Linked DNA regions of Caenorhabditis elegans. The protein of the gene in region 2 purifies or fractionates together with the protein of the main gene of each other region. This does not show direct contact. Each region holds a gene or a part of one and is shown on either strand. Other genes may lie near its edges. The genes, in order: acs-18, ile-1, sft-4 and Y17G9B.8.

What was found.
Region 1: the proteins of ile-1 (region 2) and acs-18 fractionate together in Caenorhabditis elegans (co-fractionation; one large-scale study listed by BioGRID). This does not show direct contact.
Region 3: the proteins of ile-1 (region 2) and sft-4 fractionate together in Caenorhabditis elegans (co-fractionation; one large-scale study listed by BioGRID). This does not show direct contact.
Region 4: the proteins of ile-1 (region 2) and Y17G9B.8 fractionate together in Caenorhabditis elegans (co-fractionation; one large-scale study listed by BioGRID). This does not show direct contact.

Annotation. Positions count from the first base shown.
Region 1 is NC_003282.8:10,310,055-10,315,565, forward strand, and holds acs-18 (Long-chain-fatty-acid--CoA ligase), read right to left. Parts: upstream 3,612-5,511; 5' UTR 3,553-3,611; coding exon 3,466-3,552; intron 3,383-3,465; coding exon 3,209-3,382; intron 3,164-3,208; coding exon 2,966-3,163; intron 2,916-2,965; coding exon 2,771-2,915; intron 2,722-2,770; coding exon 2,340-2,721; intron 2,291-2,339; coding exon 2,093-2,290; intron 2,046-2,092; coding exon 1,436-2,045; intron 1,371-1,435; exon of another isoform or gene 1,350-1,370; intron 1,256-1,349; exon of another isoform or gene 1,165-1,255; intron 1,135-1,164; coding exon 991-1,134; intron 909-990; coding exon 744-908; 3' UTR 694-743; downstream 1-693. Other genes in the region: R09E10.8 (Saposin B-type domain-containing protein), read right to left, coding at 77-274, 321-359.
Region 2 is NC_003279.8:9,608,689-9,613,447, forward strand, and holds ile-1 (L-type lectin-like domain-containing protein), read right to left. Parts: upstream 2,847-4,759; 5' UTR 2,845-2,846; coding exon 2,765-2,844; intron 2,713-2,764; coding exon 2,643-2,712; intron 2,595-2,642; coding exon 2,481-2,594; intron 2,437-2,480; coding exon 2,187-2,436; intron 2,143-2,186; coding exon 1,424-2,142; intron 1,375-1,423; coding exon 1,129-1,374; 3' UTR 856-1,128; downstream 1-855. Other genes in the region: aqp-9 (Aquaporin), read left to right, coding at 1-117, 162-249; K07A1.15 (Sm domain-containing protein), read right to left, coding at 353-494, 544-658, 702-813; ate-1 (Arginyl-tRNA--protein transferase 1), read right to left, coding at 3,249-3,672, 3,719-3,874, 4,218-4,523, 4,574-4,701.
Region 3 is NC_003284.9:5,778,072-5,782,357, forward strand, and holds sft-4 (Surfeit locus protein 4 homolog), read right to left. Parts: upstream 2,652-4,286; 5' UTR 2,642-2,651; coding exon 2,573-2,641; intron 2,515-2,572; coding exon 2,207-2,514; intron 2,161-2,206; coding exon 1,849-2,160; intron 1,383-1,848; coding exon 1,238-1,382; 3' UTR 804-1,237; downstream 1-803. Other genes in the region: sym-3 (C2 NT-type domain-containing protein), read left to right, coding at 20-158, 364-550. UniProt on the Caenorhabditis elegans protein: Endoplasmic reticulum cargo receptor that mediates the export of the yolk proteins from intestinal cells by recruiting cargos into COPII vesicles to facilitate their secretion.
Region 4 is NC_003282.8:4,756,606-4,760,766, forward strand, and holds Y17G9B.8 (SGF29 C-terminal domain-containing protein), read right to left. Parts: upstream 2,236-4,161; 5' UTR 2,026-2,235; intron 1,977-2,025; 5' UTR 1,513-1,976; coding exon 1,439-1,512; intron 1,393-1,438; coding exon 944-1,392; intron 897-943; coding exon 709-896; 3' UTR 572-708; downstream 1-571. Other genes in the region: Y17G9B.11 (PID domain-containing protein), read left to right, coding at 1-206, 257-337; memi-1 (MEiosis-to-MItosis transition associated), read right to left, coding at 2,635-2,817, 2,869-3,060, 3,110-3,295, 3,343-3,822.

The DNA.
Region 1 (5,511 bases), on a different chromosome or scaffold from region 2:
CTGTAACATTTATTCTCGTAATTTAATAACGAATACGACGATCTTTACAATATTTGCTGCATGCAAGATCCTTCAATTAAATAATATACGGGTACATTTTACCGTATGATGAATTCAAGTCAGCTGAATTAATAATTCCCTTGCACGCTGTTGTTGCCATTCCAAGTGTTTCACATGCACTTCTCAGAGAATCTTGAGCTACTGGCCAAGTCTTTGGAACTTCAATGAATCCACAGTAATTGCAAAATTGTTGAAATTGGGCGTTTGATCCAACCTGTAAATGAAGGCATACACAGAAACTCTAAACATTATATACTTACCAAAAGGGCGAAGAAGAAGAGAGGAAAAATGAGATTCATATTTTGAACGAAATATGCCTAGACACACCCTGTCATTGCTTTTATTTAAAAAATATATGGGAGAACAGTAAGATTCCCATCTTTCACAAAAACCGACTTGGGAAATTCACTAGATTTATTTGTTCTTCTCTGATGATGTCTGTGTGGAGTTAAAACTCTTTGAAAACTATAATCTCTTCGAAAAAAAGAACATCTGAAAACAAAAACATGTAGAGTAGGAAATGTCATATTCGCGAATGTTGTCAAGCTTGGTCATTTAACAATTTTTTTCAAGCTACTCGGCCTTCAATACATGGTATTTTGCAATCTCCATGTTACCTTTAACTAATTTCTCAGATCGTTGGGAGAAGCCTTTTTTAAGTTCTCCAGAAATTTCATTATTGTTCATTTTGCCAAATTCGAAAGTTCACTAGTCTCAATCTTCTTATACATTCCATCAATTTCCGCTTTGAAAAACTGTGCGATAGCATTTCTCTTATTCTTCAATGTAGGTGTTGTCAACCCATTTTCAGCCGAAAAAGCAACTGGCGTCAAGTGAACGCCGTACACCTAAAGTTAAAAACTAAATATTTATTGACATGAAATTCCTAAACAGTGATAAACATGAAATTCCTAAATTCCTAAACAGTACCCCTTCATATCTTGGCCTTTTATCTTCTTCTGTGAGTTCTACAAATTGTCGCAGCACATCATCTGCGAGAATCGGAATGTTGCACAATTGTTCATAGGTTTTCCCATTGATGTTGTGTTTGGTTAGCGCATATGAAGCAAGATACTGAAAAAAAAAGTTTTTAGAAGAAATAATAACAAAAACGATAGGTTCCACCGAGATTTGAACTCGGGTCGCAGGATTCAAAGTCCTGAGTGCTAACCGCTACACCATGGAACCGGACGAAAATCGGTTTCATTCTAGTGTTGACATTTTTGTCATTCTCTATCTCATTCTCTATCAACGGCTTTGAGTCTCCAGTGTCAATATTCATTTCGCAATCATTATCAGCGATAAAAGAAACACAGAAGAATCGAACTTCACATATATGAAATTCTCTGAAACAGTATAAAATTATTATTATTACCTCTGGATCTGGGACAACGATTGCTACAAGCCACGGTTTTTCCATATCGCCATGAACGTAAATCTGTTGGACAAAACTCGAAGAAGTGTAGAGGGATTCTGTGAGATCTGGAGCCACAAACTTTCCTTGTGGCATTTTGAAAACGTTTTTGCGTCGATCAATAATTTGAAGAGATCCTTCAGCAGTGAATCTTCCAATATCTCCAGTTTTCATGTATCCATCTTCAGTGAAAGATGATGCAGTTGCTTCTGGATTCTTGTAATATCCTGAAGTGACGTTATGACCCTTCACAAGTACTTCTCCACCATTTTTATCAACAGAATATCCAAGTTCAGGAACATCAATTAATTTTATCATCGCACAAGCCATCGGTGGTCCAACACATCCAATACGTGTATCTCCAACCAATTGAAGTGTTGTTGGTCCAGATGTTTCAGTTTGTCCGTATCCTTCCAGAACCTCAACTCCAAAAGCCCCACGAGCAAACCTCATTGCGGAAACGTCTGATTTTGCAGCTCCAAGAATCAATTGTCTGATGTTAGGACCGAGAAGCATCTGGATTTTATGCAAAACATACTTATCTACCCATGTTTTACGAGTAGCTTTGCCTCTAAAAAATGATTAAAAAGTGTTTTCAACTGTTCCATCGGAACCTACGTCATCTTATAATGGTATAGTTTATAGGCTATTGCCGCATTCAAAATCATTTTCTTGAGTGGTTTATCCTGAACTTGCTTCATGACTGCCTTATGGATTTTATCAATAACACGTGGAACAGTAGCAAATGACCGAGGAGCCAGAGCCTGAACGTCATCTACTAGAAGCTTGGGATCACCACGAGAAAATCCGATTCGCCTGAAGTTAATTGAAACCGGGAAATTATTATTGAAGTTGAATTTCTTACGATCCAATCATGAAGTTAGAGAGTAGGCAGAGTCTTTCGTAGATATGAGCAAGAGGAAGATAAGACAGATAAGCATCTTGAACTCCAGCTTCATTTTCAAACTCTTCACATGACATTGTGGCGGAGCACATATTCAAATGAGTCAGCATAACACCTTTCGGACGTCCAGTTGTTCCAGAAGTGAATGAAATTGTTGCCAATGTTTCTGGTGTTGGTGGAACATGTGGACGATGCTTTTGTTTCTTTCCCATTTCTACAAACTCATTGAAACTCCAAAGACGGAAATCATTTTCCCGTGCCATTTCTTTAATGTCATCTGAGCACTCGTTAAATTGAACGATATACTTCAAGCTTGATAAATAGGACTTATCGCGAATGAGTTCTGAAATTTACAAAGGTAGATCACTTTTTTTTCAGAAAAAAAAACTTACGTTTAGTTTTTATTTCGGCGTCAACGAACATCAAAGAAATTTCGCAAAGGTTAGTAATATAATGCATATCATCGTTAGTAATAGTGTCGTAAAGTGGAACAGAAACGTTGCTGAAGTTATGTATTGCCATTTCTGAGAGAATCCACTGAATATTCAGAAACAATTGATTGTCATGATTGAAAATTATTATTTTACCTCTGGACGATTATTCGAGTAGATACCAATTTTTGATTCTTCCCCAATTTCAATTCCCAACTTTCTGATAGCTTGTGAAGCATGATCAGATGTTTCGAATGCTTGATCATATGAAATCCATTCCCATTCCAATTTTCCATCTTTCATCACTCTTTTCCCCAACATTTCTTTTCCACCGACAGTTGGTCCACGACGGATCTAAAGTAAACGTTGGTCTATTGAAACATCTGATTAATATTAAACCCCTGAATATGTTGTCAAAACGCCTTCAAACCATCCGTGTTGTAGAGGACCGTCTCCAAGCCACGCAGCCTTTCTACCTCCATCTTCTTGAATAATCGATTGGTTTTTTAGATCACATCTTGGTACACGACGTTTTCCAAAGAAGAATCCACGATCTTGAACGGAAATCGGGTACTGAAACACGGAATATGATGGTAGTTATAGGACGCGCGCACAATTTCTATGAGACGCCATAGAAATTTAATTTCACAACTTACAGTAATCCTAGTAAAAAGACCAGAATATCGAAATGTCAAGCGTGAAATCACTTGTCGGGTAATCAAATTTAATCCTCGATAGGACATTGTAAGCTGACAGCGAGTCACTTGTAAGATATTTGTTCACACGAGAATTAAGACGAAATAATTTGAAAACTGACTGTCAGTGAGTTGAAGATAAAACCGCGTAGAAGATGTCACTGTGTCACGCTTAAAGTTAATTTAAATCTTTAAGAACTTTTTTATCTTTTTCAAACTTTCAACATTTTTCAAACTAATCCTGCTTTTTGCCTTTTTTTTAAAAGAACTCGTCAAAGTTTTTTACATCACAAAAATTTCAAGAAGAAATGAACGCCTGTAAAAGTGCCTACCATGCCAAATTTCAAACAACAGACCGAAATAAATTTAATTTTCTATCAGTAAAGTACACAAATATTTGTAGTTTCTAATGTTTCGTATACATGATTATCATAATCAGGGAAAAACAATTCGACTTCCTGTATTGATGTGAACTTTTCTTGTGATTATACGCACTTCATCAATATAAAACGAGCTTCAGAGCAATGTTATAATTCAAAATAAACTGAAAATGAAGTTTATATCTATCATAATTGTTCTAATGGTTGCACCATCAATTCACTCTTTTCCTGCAAGAAAACGTCGTGACTTGTTTGGAGCCGTTGCTGGAATTGCTGATAATATTGTTGGTGAAGCCGAAGGATTGCTCTATCAGGCAGAGGATGTAATTGGAAAACGTAAAAGAGAGATAACACATACTTTTAGTAACGGTTATTGATTTCAAATGATAGAAAATCAAATATTATTTCCAGAAGGAAAGCTGTCTGAAAACCCCATCGTTCGCCACAAAAGAGATTTGATTGGGACGGCAGCAGGTCATTTCAAGAGTGCAATCAATACAGTTGCTGGAGATTTTTTACAAGTTTACGTTAATGGCTATACTTCTAATTTCAGTGGCTCGCCAAATCAAAAATACGATTGGATAGAATTTTTATGTTATCTGGAAATGTATCTATTCAAACTGTACTTTGTACACTGAGCTAGTTTTTCATCATCATGTTTGCAATATTTTGTTAATCGCTTGTATAAAACTTACAAAAAGTTTGTTTACCGATTTTGATTCCAGTTTTGAATAGTATAATATAGAAAAAATTTCAAAATGATATTCAACAATTGGGAAGCTATATCCCTCTTCATGCAGCCGGTAAAAGTGTATCGCTCTCCTCATACTTCGAGCAAGTTTGAAATTATCAAGATCAAATGAAAAATTGAGAAATAACTTTCTAAGTGTGTCCAGTGTAGTAATGCTTGGCCAATTATTGTTAGTGAAGCGTATCCATTCCTTTACTGCACACTTTACATGCCTAGGAAAAATAGCTAAAGAGGAACAAAATATTAATCATCCAAGTTTGATTCACAGCAAATACTTATTTAAAAAGTTCATTTAAATGTCCATTTTCCTTTTTAATAGTAGAGACTTTTTTCCACATTGTTGTTGGATGGTGGGCGCTGCTGAAATAATTTCTAGACATTGTAATCATTTTCCTAATAAACATACTTTCATTCCTGTCTGGGCTGCCAGATTCGGAGCAAACGGGACTGGAGGTTGAACGACCAACGGTTTCTGAGGAGCACATGAGGTTGTTGGCACTGGAGCAGGAGAAACAGATGGAGATGGGAGAGCAGACACTGTTGGAGGATTTACAGTCTGGATCATCGAAGGTGGAACAGTTGGAGTAATTAGCGACTTTTGTGGTGGATTTGGAACAACTTTGGATGGACTTGGAATAGTTGAAGGCACTGGTGGAGTGCTGACTGGAACTGGGGATGGTGATACTCCGTCATCTCCGTCCTTCTCGATTTTAGGCGGTGCCTGGAAAAATATGTGAAATCTAAAGTTCTCTAGAAAATATAATATAGCTTCATAGTTTGACCTATCTATATCGATCGCATACCTTGAACATTTCCAGTGGAGGCGGATGAGCTTCAACATAATCTGACACCTGTTTCTTATAAATATCAATTGCA
Region 2 (4,759 bases):
TAACTATACTGGAATGTATGCAAATCCAATTGTTGCTTGGGCTTGTACTTTCAATTGTCTCGGAGTTTCCCATGCTGGACATCTTTTTGTTTATTGGCTCAGCCCATTGATCGCTTGGTAAGTTTTTTCAGAATTATTTTATTTTAGGTGAAGGGTTTCAGGTACTTCGCCGAAATCGTTTTTGGCTCGGAAGATGTTTTAGAAGAAGAATCTGAGGAACAAGAGAAGGATACCAAAAAGAAGGAATAGAACATTTATTTTCGAAAATTTACATTTTAGGTTCTTGAGTTTGAGCTTTTAAATTAAATATTCAACTTTAAAATTTGTAAATAATATAAATATAAACTGTTTTTCACTGATCCACAATCTTCCGTCCAGTATCGAACTGTTTCTGATCAAGTCGCCGATTTTGTTTAGGACGTCCTGTTTGATCACCTTTCATACATCTTCGAATCGCTGCGATTGGAACAACTTGATGTTCAAAATGAACAAATCTGAAATAAAATAAAATATGATTTATTGAAATAATTATATATAAATTACCTGACATGTTTCCCAATTACGAGGTACTCGGGTTCTTCAGTTTTTTGAGCATCTCGAATGATTGTGGCATATTGAATTCGGATATCCAAATTCGAATCACAACTTTCCAAAATTCCTGAAATGTATAGTTTGAATTAAAAATGAAAATAATCTCCTACCAATCACATAAACATCGTTGCGAAGCTCCACAAAAACTTTTTTACCAGCCATTCCCTGTAAAACTGCACCACATCCAGATTCGAGTCGCTTCTTTTCATTTGAAAACTCCATTATCAAATTTTATTGGATCTTTATTTACGAGGATTTCCTTTCTAAACAATACATTTTTATTTAAATAAACTACCATCGAATGCACCATTCAAATACCATACAAATCGAAAAAAATAACGGGGGAAATCTGACTAAAACACAACACAATCAGGGGTGAGATGATATTATTTACCAGGGGATTTTTTGAATAAGAAAATTCGTTGTGGGGTCGCGATAATGTCGTAAATACGCTGTATTGAGAACAAAACATCACATTTGACGACAGGTTCGAAGGGGAAAGACATTGTTAGTTAATGATGGTTAGAATGCAATAAATTAGTAGAATTTGGCCTTGTCTTGCTTGCTTCGTACAAAAACGACTGCAACTATGATGGCTGATTGAATGAATATGATTAACATGAAGATGGTTGACGAGACGCATGAAATGTTCGGGCAGTTCGCAGCGGCTCCAGGTCCACTTGTTTGAATTTGAGTTGCTCTGACTGTTCGTAGCTCATTAAGCAATGAATCAACTTTTTGATGCATGCTGCTGTCTACTCCACCTGCACCAGCACCACCTTGCTGAAAAATAAGCATTTAAACACTAAAAAAGGGTTAGGTGAAAACTTACAGCAATTTTTTGATCAATGTTATACGTTTTGGTGAAGATTTCATTGACATACTGTTTCATGTCACGAATCGTTTGAGTTAAATCTCGCAATGACGTTATAACTTCATTTTTCTCGTGTTGTTGGAAGCTTCCGCCAGCGGCGACTGGAGCTGGTGCTGCTCCACCGGAGTGAGGTACTGCAGCAGCGACACCAGACGTTTGAGCCTGCTGGATTTGTGCTAGCCTCTGATCCATGTTCTGCATAACCTGATGAATAGCGTTTTGAGACTCATAAATTAAACGAAGTTCGCGAGCAGTAGCATCCTCATAATACTTATTTGGATCATACTCGTCGTCTTCTTTCACTTTATCCGGATGTTGCTCCTTGAATTTGGCTCTCTCCTGTTCATATTCTTTCATCTGCCTCTCGAACTCTTCATCATATTTTTGTTTCTCTTGTTGTGGAATCTGCTCAGCAACTGGCACTGGTTTCTGTTGCTCGTTGAAAAGAGAGAATACAGAGAAGTCCAAAACGTCGTGGTCATCAGCAAGACCGCCGGTAGCAGCAGAAACGCCGAAGTATCCATTACGTGGAAGGAAGATGTTTTCAGCACGCATACAAAGCTCGTAACGAGGTGTTGGTTGCATACCATCGTCAATATGAACTGTGAGTACATTCTTCAAATATTCGATTCGAATGCGAACTGGATATGGCTTATTACGGAAATCTCGTTGGCAACCTGAAAAATATGTTGGTTTGGTGATTTTTCTTTAGAAAACTTACTAGACAAAATCTGTTGTGATCCATCGGTATGATGATCATATGATCTGGTTCCATCATTCAGCATAAGAGACACCTGTGGGTTGTTCTTTTGGCCATCGTTGTCGAACGAATCGAGGAACAATCCCATACCCGTCCAGAAATCGTTTCCTCCGAAAACTGGTCCAAGGGCTCCAAGTTGAGAAGTGTACCAGATTCCGAGACCATCTGCTCCGACACGTCCCTGTCCTCCAATTTTCAGAGCGATGTCTACCTGCAAATGTGTTTTTTTTTTGGATATTTTTCTTAGAAACTCACCTGGAAGTTTTCACTTTCTAAGAAAGCTCTCTTGTTCCACGCAATACCTTTTCTGCTTCTCATTGATGGAGCCAATCGGAGCTGTTCACCAGAAGCAATAGCATCTCCACTAACCTAAATCTCACGCTTTTTGATTAAAAAATTGGAGAATTATTTTCTTACAATCCAGAAAGGAATAGATCCATCGCGTTGTGCAAGATTTGGAGCACGGAAAGAATGCTTGTATTCGAACCTGTAAATTAAAGAGGAAATTACTTCAAGGTTTTTAAACTTTAAAAACCTACTTCTTGAAAACCGGAGTATTTTGTGCTTGAATGGTAACGATTACGGCCAGCAGCACGAGTAGAACCCGTGATGAGGTCATATCTGGAATGCAAATGTTTGCTTAGCGAATGAAAATGCAAATATCGTGAGAAAATTTTGGAGAAATGAAGGAAAAACTGTAGAGAAACTCGGCATAAGCCAACCGTACACGTCGACGAACTGCGTCTGCACACAACATAATCTACGCACAATTGCGGACTTTCCGGTATTTGCATTAAAACCTTTTTTGTTAGAAATTCGTGAAGTGTTGACAAAATAAATCGGTTTGCGCTCAGCTCTGCAGCCGGTAGGCTCGAGCCTGATATGTAAATAATATGCACTTCATGATTGCCATTTTTATTTAAGCAGTTTTTGACTGATGAATACAAATAATTATACAAGCAAAATACATTTAAAAAAATATGTGTCCAGTACTAATCAAGAATTTTATACAAACAGAAGCTTTTAAGAGTTTAGTTCATTGAAATAGTAGACAACTCTGCTCAAATCAGGACCCACGAGATGTGCCAAATCCCTAACATTTGCTAAAAATTGCTCGTTTTCTGCAGCTTCTGGAATCTCAGTGAGTGCATCTGACAAAGTCGTTATTGATCCGTTAGAGAACACGAGAAGAGTATCAACAACTGGAGAAGCTGGACGAGGAGCTCCTGGACAGAACTCAGAAAAGCCATTTGAGCAAGTTGAGCCATCAAGGAGATCACGACATGAATTAAAATCAACCCATCGAAACGATTGGTCACAAAGAAGATCACTTGGGCGAAATTTAGCCTTGTAGCGCATTTTTGGACACGAGTGAATGTAGTATCCCATATAGTAATACTTGAGATTCGAATAAATTGCATGAAGACGTTGAGTTTGCTCGATTTCTCTGTAATTACAATTTATGATTGAAAAAAAACGAAGGATATGCCCACCTCAAAGCTGTATATGTTCCCAGGGACAAAAATGAATATTCCGGATTATAATACATGTATTTGGCCGAAAAACATTTTGGTAGAATATCAACGACACAAACAGCAATCAGTTTATCATCTAGAAGAAACCAAAGATGGAATGAGCCCAGCTCTATTCTGAAATTGAACTCATTTTTTAAGAGTAACTGGCGAATTCCCTAAAAGCTACATTTTGTGATTTTTTCTCCAAAAATACGGTACCAGGTCTCATCACGGCAAAATTTGTTGAACCCAAAACGCGCGCCTTTAAAGGGTACTGAAATTTTAAAATTTCGTTGTTGGGGAGTTTTTATCGAATTTTAATAGGTTTCCTCACTCACGATATGTTAAAATTCATGCTCTTTGTTGTTGTTGAGTTAAAGGCACCGTTTTGTACTTAACAAAACATTTTTCGTGTCGAGACCTTGTATTTTTTGCGTAAAAATCGCAAAATTTCGCGTTCGGGGTAATAATAGCTCACCCTCCTCTTTGCTCTTTTTTCAATGGAGAATCACAGAGGAATCTACGAAAACCGGCAAGTCGACAGTCTTCGTCTTTGTGAATAGTATGCTGGTAATTTTTGTACAATTCGAATGATTCGTTATCTCTTGTTCCAAATTCATCTCCACCGAGAGAAACTAGTTTTACTTCGAGTTTATGTTTCCAGTCAGGACGAGCTTCATCGATGTACGATTGAATTGTTCGTTGACGAGCTGCATCTTTTTGACGACGTTCGGTTCGGACAACATCGGGATCCAAATTCTTTTGACGACATTTTTCTTCAAATCTGTAAATTGAAATTATTAATTATTAAACTAAATATTGGAAAAAGTCTACTTTTTATTGCGAATTTCCTTTTTTGTCAAAACGGGTCTATCCGCATCTTTCATTTTCTTCGTACTAACTTCGTGGGATTTCAGATTTTTCTTTGATTGTTCAGATTGACTGCCGGACCCTTTTAAGTTCTAAAATTCAATTATTGTATTTTCACCATATCACCCAGACGCGAAAACTTGCGTTTTT
Region 3 (4,286 bases), on a different chromosome or scaffold from region 2:
TTTGACCAAAATTATTCAGAAAGTTCATCCGCCGCTAGCAACTCGCAAGTCGACGAACCAGTTGTCGAACGACGAGTAATACATCCACCACAACATCCAACCTGCCAACTACGACGATTTAGTCAAGATCGATCTGCTCAAAAAATTCAACACTCCAGGTAAGGTGAAACTTTTTTGAAACATTAAAAAAAAAGAGTCATGGCGAGTTTGACCTTTTTGATTCATGTTAAGAAGATTAGTGAAATGACCCAAATTCCTCTACTCTACTGTTTCATGTTTGAATTGAGTCCCATAAAAATAATTGAAAATTGGTCAAATATTGATTCTGAGCATTTCTTTTCCTAATTTTTCAATCATTTTCAGATTCGATGCAGACAACGTGATTGACAAAATCATTGCCGAATGTCGAATATCGGAAGATGAAGTGGAGAGTAACAGCGGAGGCTTGGTGCTCGAGAAATTCTTGGATAAACATGGAAAGCCACTTGTCAATCCACGTCAACCCGTGAAACGGACGTCTTATGTGGCTGAACATTTCAATGATGCGTGAAAAAATTTTCCCGTTTTGTTCTAAATTCGAAAATTTTCTTATTTCTACTACTTATTTACTTTGAAACTATGTGCATCATTTTGATGACTGCCTTTTTCATCTTACAAGCACTTTCTGGTTTTTGATATACGGTTTCTTCGTCTCATGTTAATTCTATTTTGATTGTATTACCAATGGGTCTTCTTTTTCAAGCAGCTAAATTATTTTCACTGTTCGGGTGATTAGAAAACTTTAACAAATAAAATGATTGTCTGACAGAAAAATGTTTATTCTTTACGGGAACAAAACTACCAGAAGAAAATTGGGATAGGCCGATTAGAAAGTAAAGGAAAGTGGTGGAAAAATGACTGTTTTAGTTGTGATTCGTGTGAGAAAAATAGAAGTTTGTAGGGAGAGTTTCATTGGAAAACAACCCATATAGTCCATGAAGTTTTAGGGAAAGGAAGAAAATGACAAAAAAAAATAAAAGGAAATAGATATGAAGTTGTAACATTACGACAAGAAGCATTGGATGGGAAACCGAGGGAAAACGTTCTACTCTAAATATATTGATTAAAGGAAATATCGAAAAAATCGAAACAGATTCATAAATTATATAAACAATCCAGGTAAATTTATCGGGGTGAGTGAGTGTAATGCAATGATTTGACATAGAAATGCGTATAAGTACTGGTGTTAATGGGGTATCTACCATCTTTTCTTGTAGTCATCGACTGACACTCCTCCTGGTCCGTAGGCAATGACAAGGAGAAGTCCTCCAATGACGGACATGGTTTGGAAGAAATCGTACTTCATGAAGTCTCTGTAGAAGCGGTCGGAAGGAATGGTCCACCTGAAAAATCAATGTTTCAATTATGGTTAATCAAGCGTCAAATTGTTATAATTGGTTTTTTTGTTTTGATTAAAGTGGTTATTCAAGTAATTTTGCGAAATGTATTTTAATACATTTTTGACGTCACAGCTGTATTAAAATACAAGTTTTGTGTATTTCAATACAGTTGTGACGTCATTTTTCTATACTTTTTAATTTTCCGACACTACTTGAATAACATCATTAAGAGTGATCTGTTCTTCACTGCGGATCTGGGTGTCAATTGCACTGGCTAGTTATACACCCAGTGAGCTTTAGTTCGAGTCACACTTGAGCCCGGGACTGTGGCTGATAATCCAGAATCTAGAGGGAGCACTTGAACCAGTGACCTCATGATTGCTAGCGGCCACCAGTACCGACTGAGCTATCCCGATCATGTTGTGATAATTTCAGATTGTATAGTTTCGTTTCCACATCAAATACTTACCAAGCATTAAGCCAAAGGTTAAGTCCGAAGAGCCAGATGACAAGAACAATCGCGGAAAGCTTTGTCTTGTAACCAATTGAGACGAGAGTGATGAGAGCAAATCCAACAACAATCTCCAAAACTTGCATGAAGGACATCTCAAAATGCATCAAAGACATGAACATGAAGATAAGAAGAACACGTCCGGCAAGAAGCATGTACGATTTTGGCTTGTTCGAGTCTCCCATTGTTGGAACTCCGGCGAACAGGGAAGCCTTCTCTTCCTGTGTCTCGGCAAGAAGGAGCAAAAGTCCTCCACCAACGGCAATGTTTCTGAAATTTTACGTTTATTGCGAGTTCAAAGGAAACAAATGATTACCTGGCCAAGAACTTCAAGTCCCAGAGAATATGGTAAGCGATGGTTTGGAGAATGACAATGCTGGCAAGAATTCCACATGCGACCAACACCTTCTTGCGGAGCATGATCATTAAAACCGGGATGAACTGTCCGAAGAAGTTGTAGATGACGAACAAAGTTGCGATGAACCAACCGCAAGACCAAGACTCTTGCATGAACTGTTTTTGATCATCCCATTGGAAGTACATACGGATTCCATCTTCAAGGAATGTGGAGACGAGGCAGAGGCGAGCAATGTGGGGTAGGTAGGTCCTTGTTTTGCGGAAGAACTGAAATTCGCAAGTTTAAAGTTCATAGTTCATATAATAGTTTAGAGGTATTACGTACATCTTCAGCGGCGTCTTCTGCTTTCGCCAGCATTTCGTTCTGACCACCTGGAGCCCGGAACTGGTTCATTTTCCAAGAGCTGAAAAAATAGGTTTGGAAAAGTGTAGTGTAAATTAAGAAAAAAATCGGAAAGATGATAAGAAGTTGATAAAAAACGAGACGGGCGGTGACGACGAACAAAAATGCTGGAAGAGAATGAGTGGAAGAGAAGAATCGAAGGATTAGATGGTGGATTGAATGAATGACTACAAAATGGAACACGTGGCATGTGCACTTTACGAAAGATGTGTATTGCTGTCTGCGTCTCTCTTACGATTGACGCCAGTATTAGAGGTCAACGGATCAATAGTATCTTTTCCGAAACACTACACACAACTGTTTCGATTTAATATATCTTTTGTGTTCATTGAGAATAATAGAGGGACAGATCGGATTGAATGAAAATGTAATCAGACAAGATGAGATAACATGAGAAGAGATAACCTCTCATCAAAAAGGTTGTAAATACTATGGCAGTGGCGCATTAATTTAATGAACGAAGAGCTAACTAGTCTAGATGCTATCAAATATCGAGAGTAGTAGAGAAGACATTTATTGCCTTTGTTGGCGCAAGCAGCCTACGTAAATTTCCCATTTTCTGGGTTTTCTGAATTTCCAATGAGCCACCGCGGATGACGTATTTAACAACAAGTACACACACAAAAAATCGGATGACATATGAAAAATGGAAATTAAAATGAGAACAATCGTCGCCAAACATAACATCTCTCCAGGTAGGAGGAAAACCGTCAAAGCTGCACAATGTCAACACACAAGGCGGTCACGACTTTTTGTTTATCAAACTGGCCAACAGATGGCCGCGCCGATGAATGGTGGATATTTGGAACGGAATTGAAAATTTTTAAATCTTTAATGATACACGTTTTAAAGCTGGGTTTTAAGTGTATTTTGAGCAAACGTTGGGTTATCTATTTTGTTTTTAAAGTTTGACAAAAAGACGTCAGCTTTCGCTGAATACACTGGCAATGAATACACCGCGTCACGTCATCGTATACACAGAATTGATACTGAACTTGCGGAAATAGTACAGCGAAGTCATTGGGTAAATGAGTAATGTACAATAGAGAATGGAAATTATTCTTTATCACTTCCGCTACAGTTGTGTAAAAACTAAGCTAGGGAAAAAACCTTAAACTGGTTGAAAAAAGCGGTTCAAAAGTAAGAGTTTGGATGTCAACGGGCATAAGTGACGGGCGTTTATGTGAACGACTCTTTCCTAAACAGGTTTTCTCCGGACAAATGAAAACGAAAACATAAGCGACGAGAAAAGAAGGGGAACTGAACCGAAAGGGGCAAATGGAGGAAGAGGAGGCACACGAAATGTAGAGAGACCGCGTCGCAGCCGCACGCGAGCTGATGTGGTGGTTGTGGTTTGAAAATAGAAATGACACTCTCGAAAAGGAAGGAGAAAGAGAGTATATCACCGCTCCCGAGTATCACCACCTGCCAAGTAGGTGCCATTGAATTCAACCATTTTTATGAATGAATTATGATTTAAAATACATTAGAAGTTGAAGATAATCGAAAGACTACAGAAAAAACGCAAAAAAAGATAAAAGTAATGTTACATAAAGTTTTCGGTAAAACTGGTTGAGCGAAAAATCACAAAAGATGTTTGTTTTTACGAGAGCTGCAACTGGTTCCACGTTGTTAC
Region 4 (4,161 bases), on a different chromosome or scaffold from region 2:
TGCAAATGGTTTTAACACGTAACATGGACATAGTTGTACTACACCAATCATTGAAATATGATCTTAATGATGTACTAAATAGTGACAAATGCTTCCGCATTCGTCGCTTATCTAAGAATCAAAGATGTCAATATATTTTTGAAACACTGGATTCACGGAGTCGACAGGAAACTGGAATCTGCGAATTTCGATTTTACTGCATTCAGGTGAGACGAAGATCTTCTCGAATCACTCTTTGAAGGTATAGAATATCTAGCAGATAGCTATCTCTAGTGCGCTTTCGATGCTGAGGAGACTGTGGATAGAGAATTTTTTGTTCTTTTGCCGTTGGGATTGACGGGATGTGACGAGTATCCTGTCAAAGGTGGTTATGATGTGAGAAGGAATGATGGGATGACGGCTATGTACTATTTATCATTGTAGATCGTGCAGATATATTAATCAAAATGTTTTTCTGGTTTTAAAATCACGTTAATTTTTAATAATCAAGACCACGCATTGGATCACTTTCTAATTTTTTCTGCACTCTCTGAATTATTTCTCTTGTATAATTTTCGAATAATGTTGCCGCCAATAATAACACGTTTTATTTTTGATAAGAACAACTTTTATGGACAAATAAAAAACATTGTGAGATTTATGAGAAGGAATTCCGGGATTTTTAGGAGTTACATACAATAAATACTGTCAATTAATTGGATTATGGCCTCATTTCTTTTTGTGGCCATTTCCCTTTTTTGGAGCAGTTGATGCAGTGAGCCCTGCAACTTCTCGGAAGGCAACCACGTATTTCTGAGCAACCGGCATTGGAGGGCAGAATCCTGATGCATAGCTGTCGTCTTCGAACGCTACTTGATATGGTTCTCGAAAATCTGCTGGCGGGGAGTGAACTATTCCTGGAAAATAATTATTTTATTTTTGAAACTTTTGTGAAAATTGGTACCTTTGTAGAAGCAAGTGGTTTGTGGATACAACGCCAACACAATCGCATTTTTCTCGAAAAGTGCATGCTTGTCTGATGCAGGATTCGCTTTCCATTTTGGGAGGGGTAACAAATGGCTTCTCGCGAAAACTGTCAACTTCTTCTTGTCATCATCAACGTCTCGACACTCATATCGCGAGTTAGAGTGACATGTGACAATATCAGCAAGAATCCAGTTTCCGTCTTTACTGAATGCCGCCACTGAATCTCCGTCGCCTAGTTTCGAGCCATCCTGTGGTGCAATAGCTCCAACATATTCTCCAGGAAATTGTGTGTCATGGCTGGTCCATAATGGAAGAAGGTCGCCGCGAACCTTGATCAGTTCCATTAAATCTCTCCGACTGATGTCTCCGGCCATTTGGGAGCGATAATCCATTTCAGCAACACGTTTTACTTCGTCCAAAAGATTTCTGTAATATTTATTTTAATTTTGAGAGATTAAAGATGAAAACGAACCTAATGAATGATTGTTGTGATTCCACAGATCGATGAGTGCTGGTGACAAAATGTGAAATTCCATCGAAAACCATGGAAACTTCTCAGTAAACCCGTTCAGAATATACCCAGATTTCAACCGAATTTGTGCACAGCATGCAGAAATCGCCGAATTTGTACAGATTGCAAATTTGAACAGATTTTCGAGGCAATTGCCCCGAAAATTTTGTTGAAACTATTCAAAACTTTACTTCAAATTTTAAAAATTTATCTAAAACTTGGTCTTCATTGATTTCTTTTGTTAAGATTTTAATTGATATTTGCAAGAAAACTTTAAAATCGTGGCGAGACCCAGCCGTACAACCACGTGCCCCTTTAAACAGACTACTGTATTTATATTGAATTTTTAATGATTGGATTTCGCAAAAATTAGTTATAAAAATTGTTTAAAAAAACCCACTTTACCCTTTCCATAGGGGTTCGGCTCATTATCTCGGAATTCTTGAAGTTTTTGCAGATTCTCGTTGATAGCGTCTTGCTTCGATTTCACTGTTGGCAGCTGGAAAATTAATTTCAAAACTAGGAATAAATAAATAAATAAAACTCACCTTTTTGATAACCTCTTCGGCGGTTTTCTTCTTCATTTCCTCGGTGATTTGCACATCGTTCTTCTTCCGAGGCATTTTGAAATTATGCTATTTTCCTGAACAAGGAAATGAAGAGGTGCAATAGAGCAGATATATATTTAAACGGGAAGAATCGAGAGAGACCTGATTACGTGATGAGACGGGGAGAGTGCAGACATTACAAGTCGTATGCTGTGAATGAGGCAATGAAAAGGCCAGGTTGTTGCGGTGGGAAAATAACGTATATGGAGTAATTTACCAGTGAAAAGCCGGGAATAGTTGAAATTCATATTCTAATCAATCAATCAGAGCAGTAATGCATTGTAAAATTATACCTCAAACAAATTCATCTTTGAAAAAAAATCAAAATAAATGCGGGCAATATACATGTCGAATATAAACAAAATAGTCGTGGGTTGTCACAATTTGGGCATTGGAGAATCTATATACATAAAACAACTAAAACAAAAAAGGAAAATAAAATAGGGGAAGTTAGTTGGAATATTCAACAGGAACCACTCGGTTATTTAAATACATATACAATAATACAGACTTATGCACATTACTACTAATTATAGGACATATATGGAGTTACTCGTCCTCTTCATCCAGTTCGAATGTTTCGAGAAACGAGATCAGGTCGTCGACTGGCGCAATTCCGTTTTCCAGCGAGATCATATCCTTTTCGACCTCGAATTCGTGGATTTCGACTGGCTCTTCGACAATCAGCACTCGCCGGTTCATGCACTTCACCGTTTGCTCCAATTCGATGTACTGAAAATGTTATAAATTGGAAATCGATAGAATTATTGCTATACAACTCACTCTATTTCTTCGGAAAGGATCCCTGGTGCTCGAGTTGTTCTTGTACACGATCCTCGTTTCCACGTGGCGCTTTCCTCGAATTGAACACGTGATTGATGCAGTCGAAGTCATCAGCCGGCCTTGTGAATCGAGTCCTGGCTCGAGATTTCCGTATTCCCGGCAGTGTGTGGTTCTCAGGAGACGAGTGATAGTCTGAAACATGAAAAGTTATTTGTGTGTAATATAAAACCGATTTACTTACTCTCTTCGTCTGTGATCGGATCAGGGTTGCAACCACAAAGCTATCTGTCATTTGGAACCTTTCGTTTTCCTTCTCTAGTTGTTCGAGCAATGCAAATAACGTTTGGAACGACATTTCATTGGTTGTCTGGATAGCAAATCGAGCCACATTTTGTCCCGTTTCCTTCGGTTCGGTCAGGAGAGAAGTCTGAAATGAGATTTATGCTTTATCAAAAATATGGCCAAGAAACTAACCAGAATCAAACTAGAGATATCCTCGACCGACAGCTTCCGGCACTGAGCGGCAAAATAATGTGGTCGTTGGTTGGGATGAAGAAACACGTGCTCGACAAGCGCTTTCTCCGATTCTCTGGTCGTGTGGAACCATCTTTGCGAGAAATAGTCGTAGCGCTTAAGACGAAGATTTTCAATCGGCACAGTCTGAATGTGCCGGAGCACTTTGACAGCTTCATCGCGGATGATTGTCTTGCTCGGTTTCTTGTCGACGAGCTTTGGAGTCTCATCGATACGATGAACGGAACAGTAGTTCTCATCTTCGACGAGCTCCACATCTTCTCCGTGCCCTTCGATAATTACATCATGATTGATGTTGGGTTGTGGTGGGAGGGAAGAGCAACCGGCTCGAGCGGTTTCCAAGCGATCTTCTTCGGCGTAGTTGGCGACGTATCTGGTCGCCGTCAAATCGCGAAGGACGGTGCGAGATGGAGCTGACATTCTGAAAAACGTTGATTTAAAATTTTATAAAAAATTTGAAGCAAAAATGAAAGAGAAAACTAAAAAAAAAGTAAATGTACTGAAGTGATTGGCAGATTAATAATAATTTATCGATAAAACCATTTTTTAAAAAACTTCATCAGTTTTTGTGAGTGTCAGCAAAGAAGAAGAAGATTCACGATCAAAAATTCGTTGAGCCTATATGAAATAGTTGCGCTGGTTTTTCGACGGGGGGATCAAATACGTCAAATAGGTCAAATAGACGAAGCATTCATAAAAAGTACAATATTCATTGAAAAATAGTTTTGGATTTGTTTTTTTGTTTTCTTCATTTTTTTG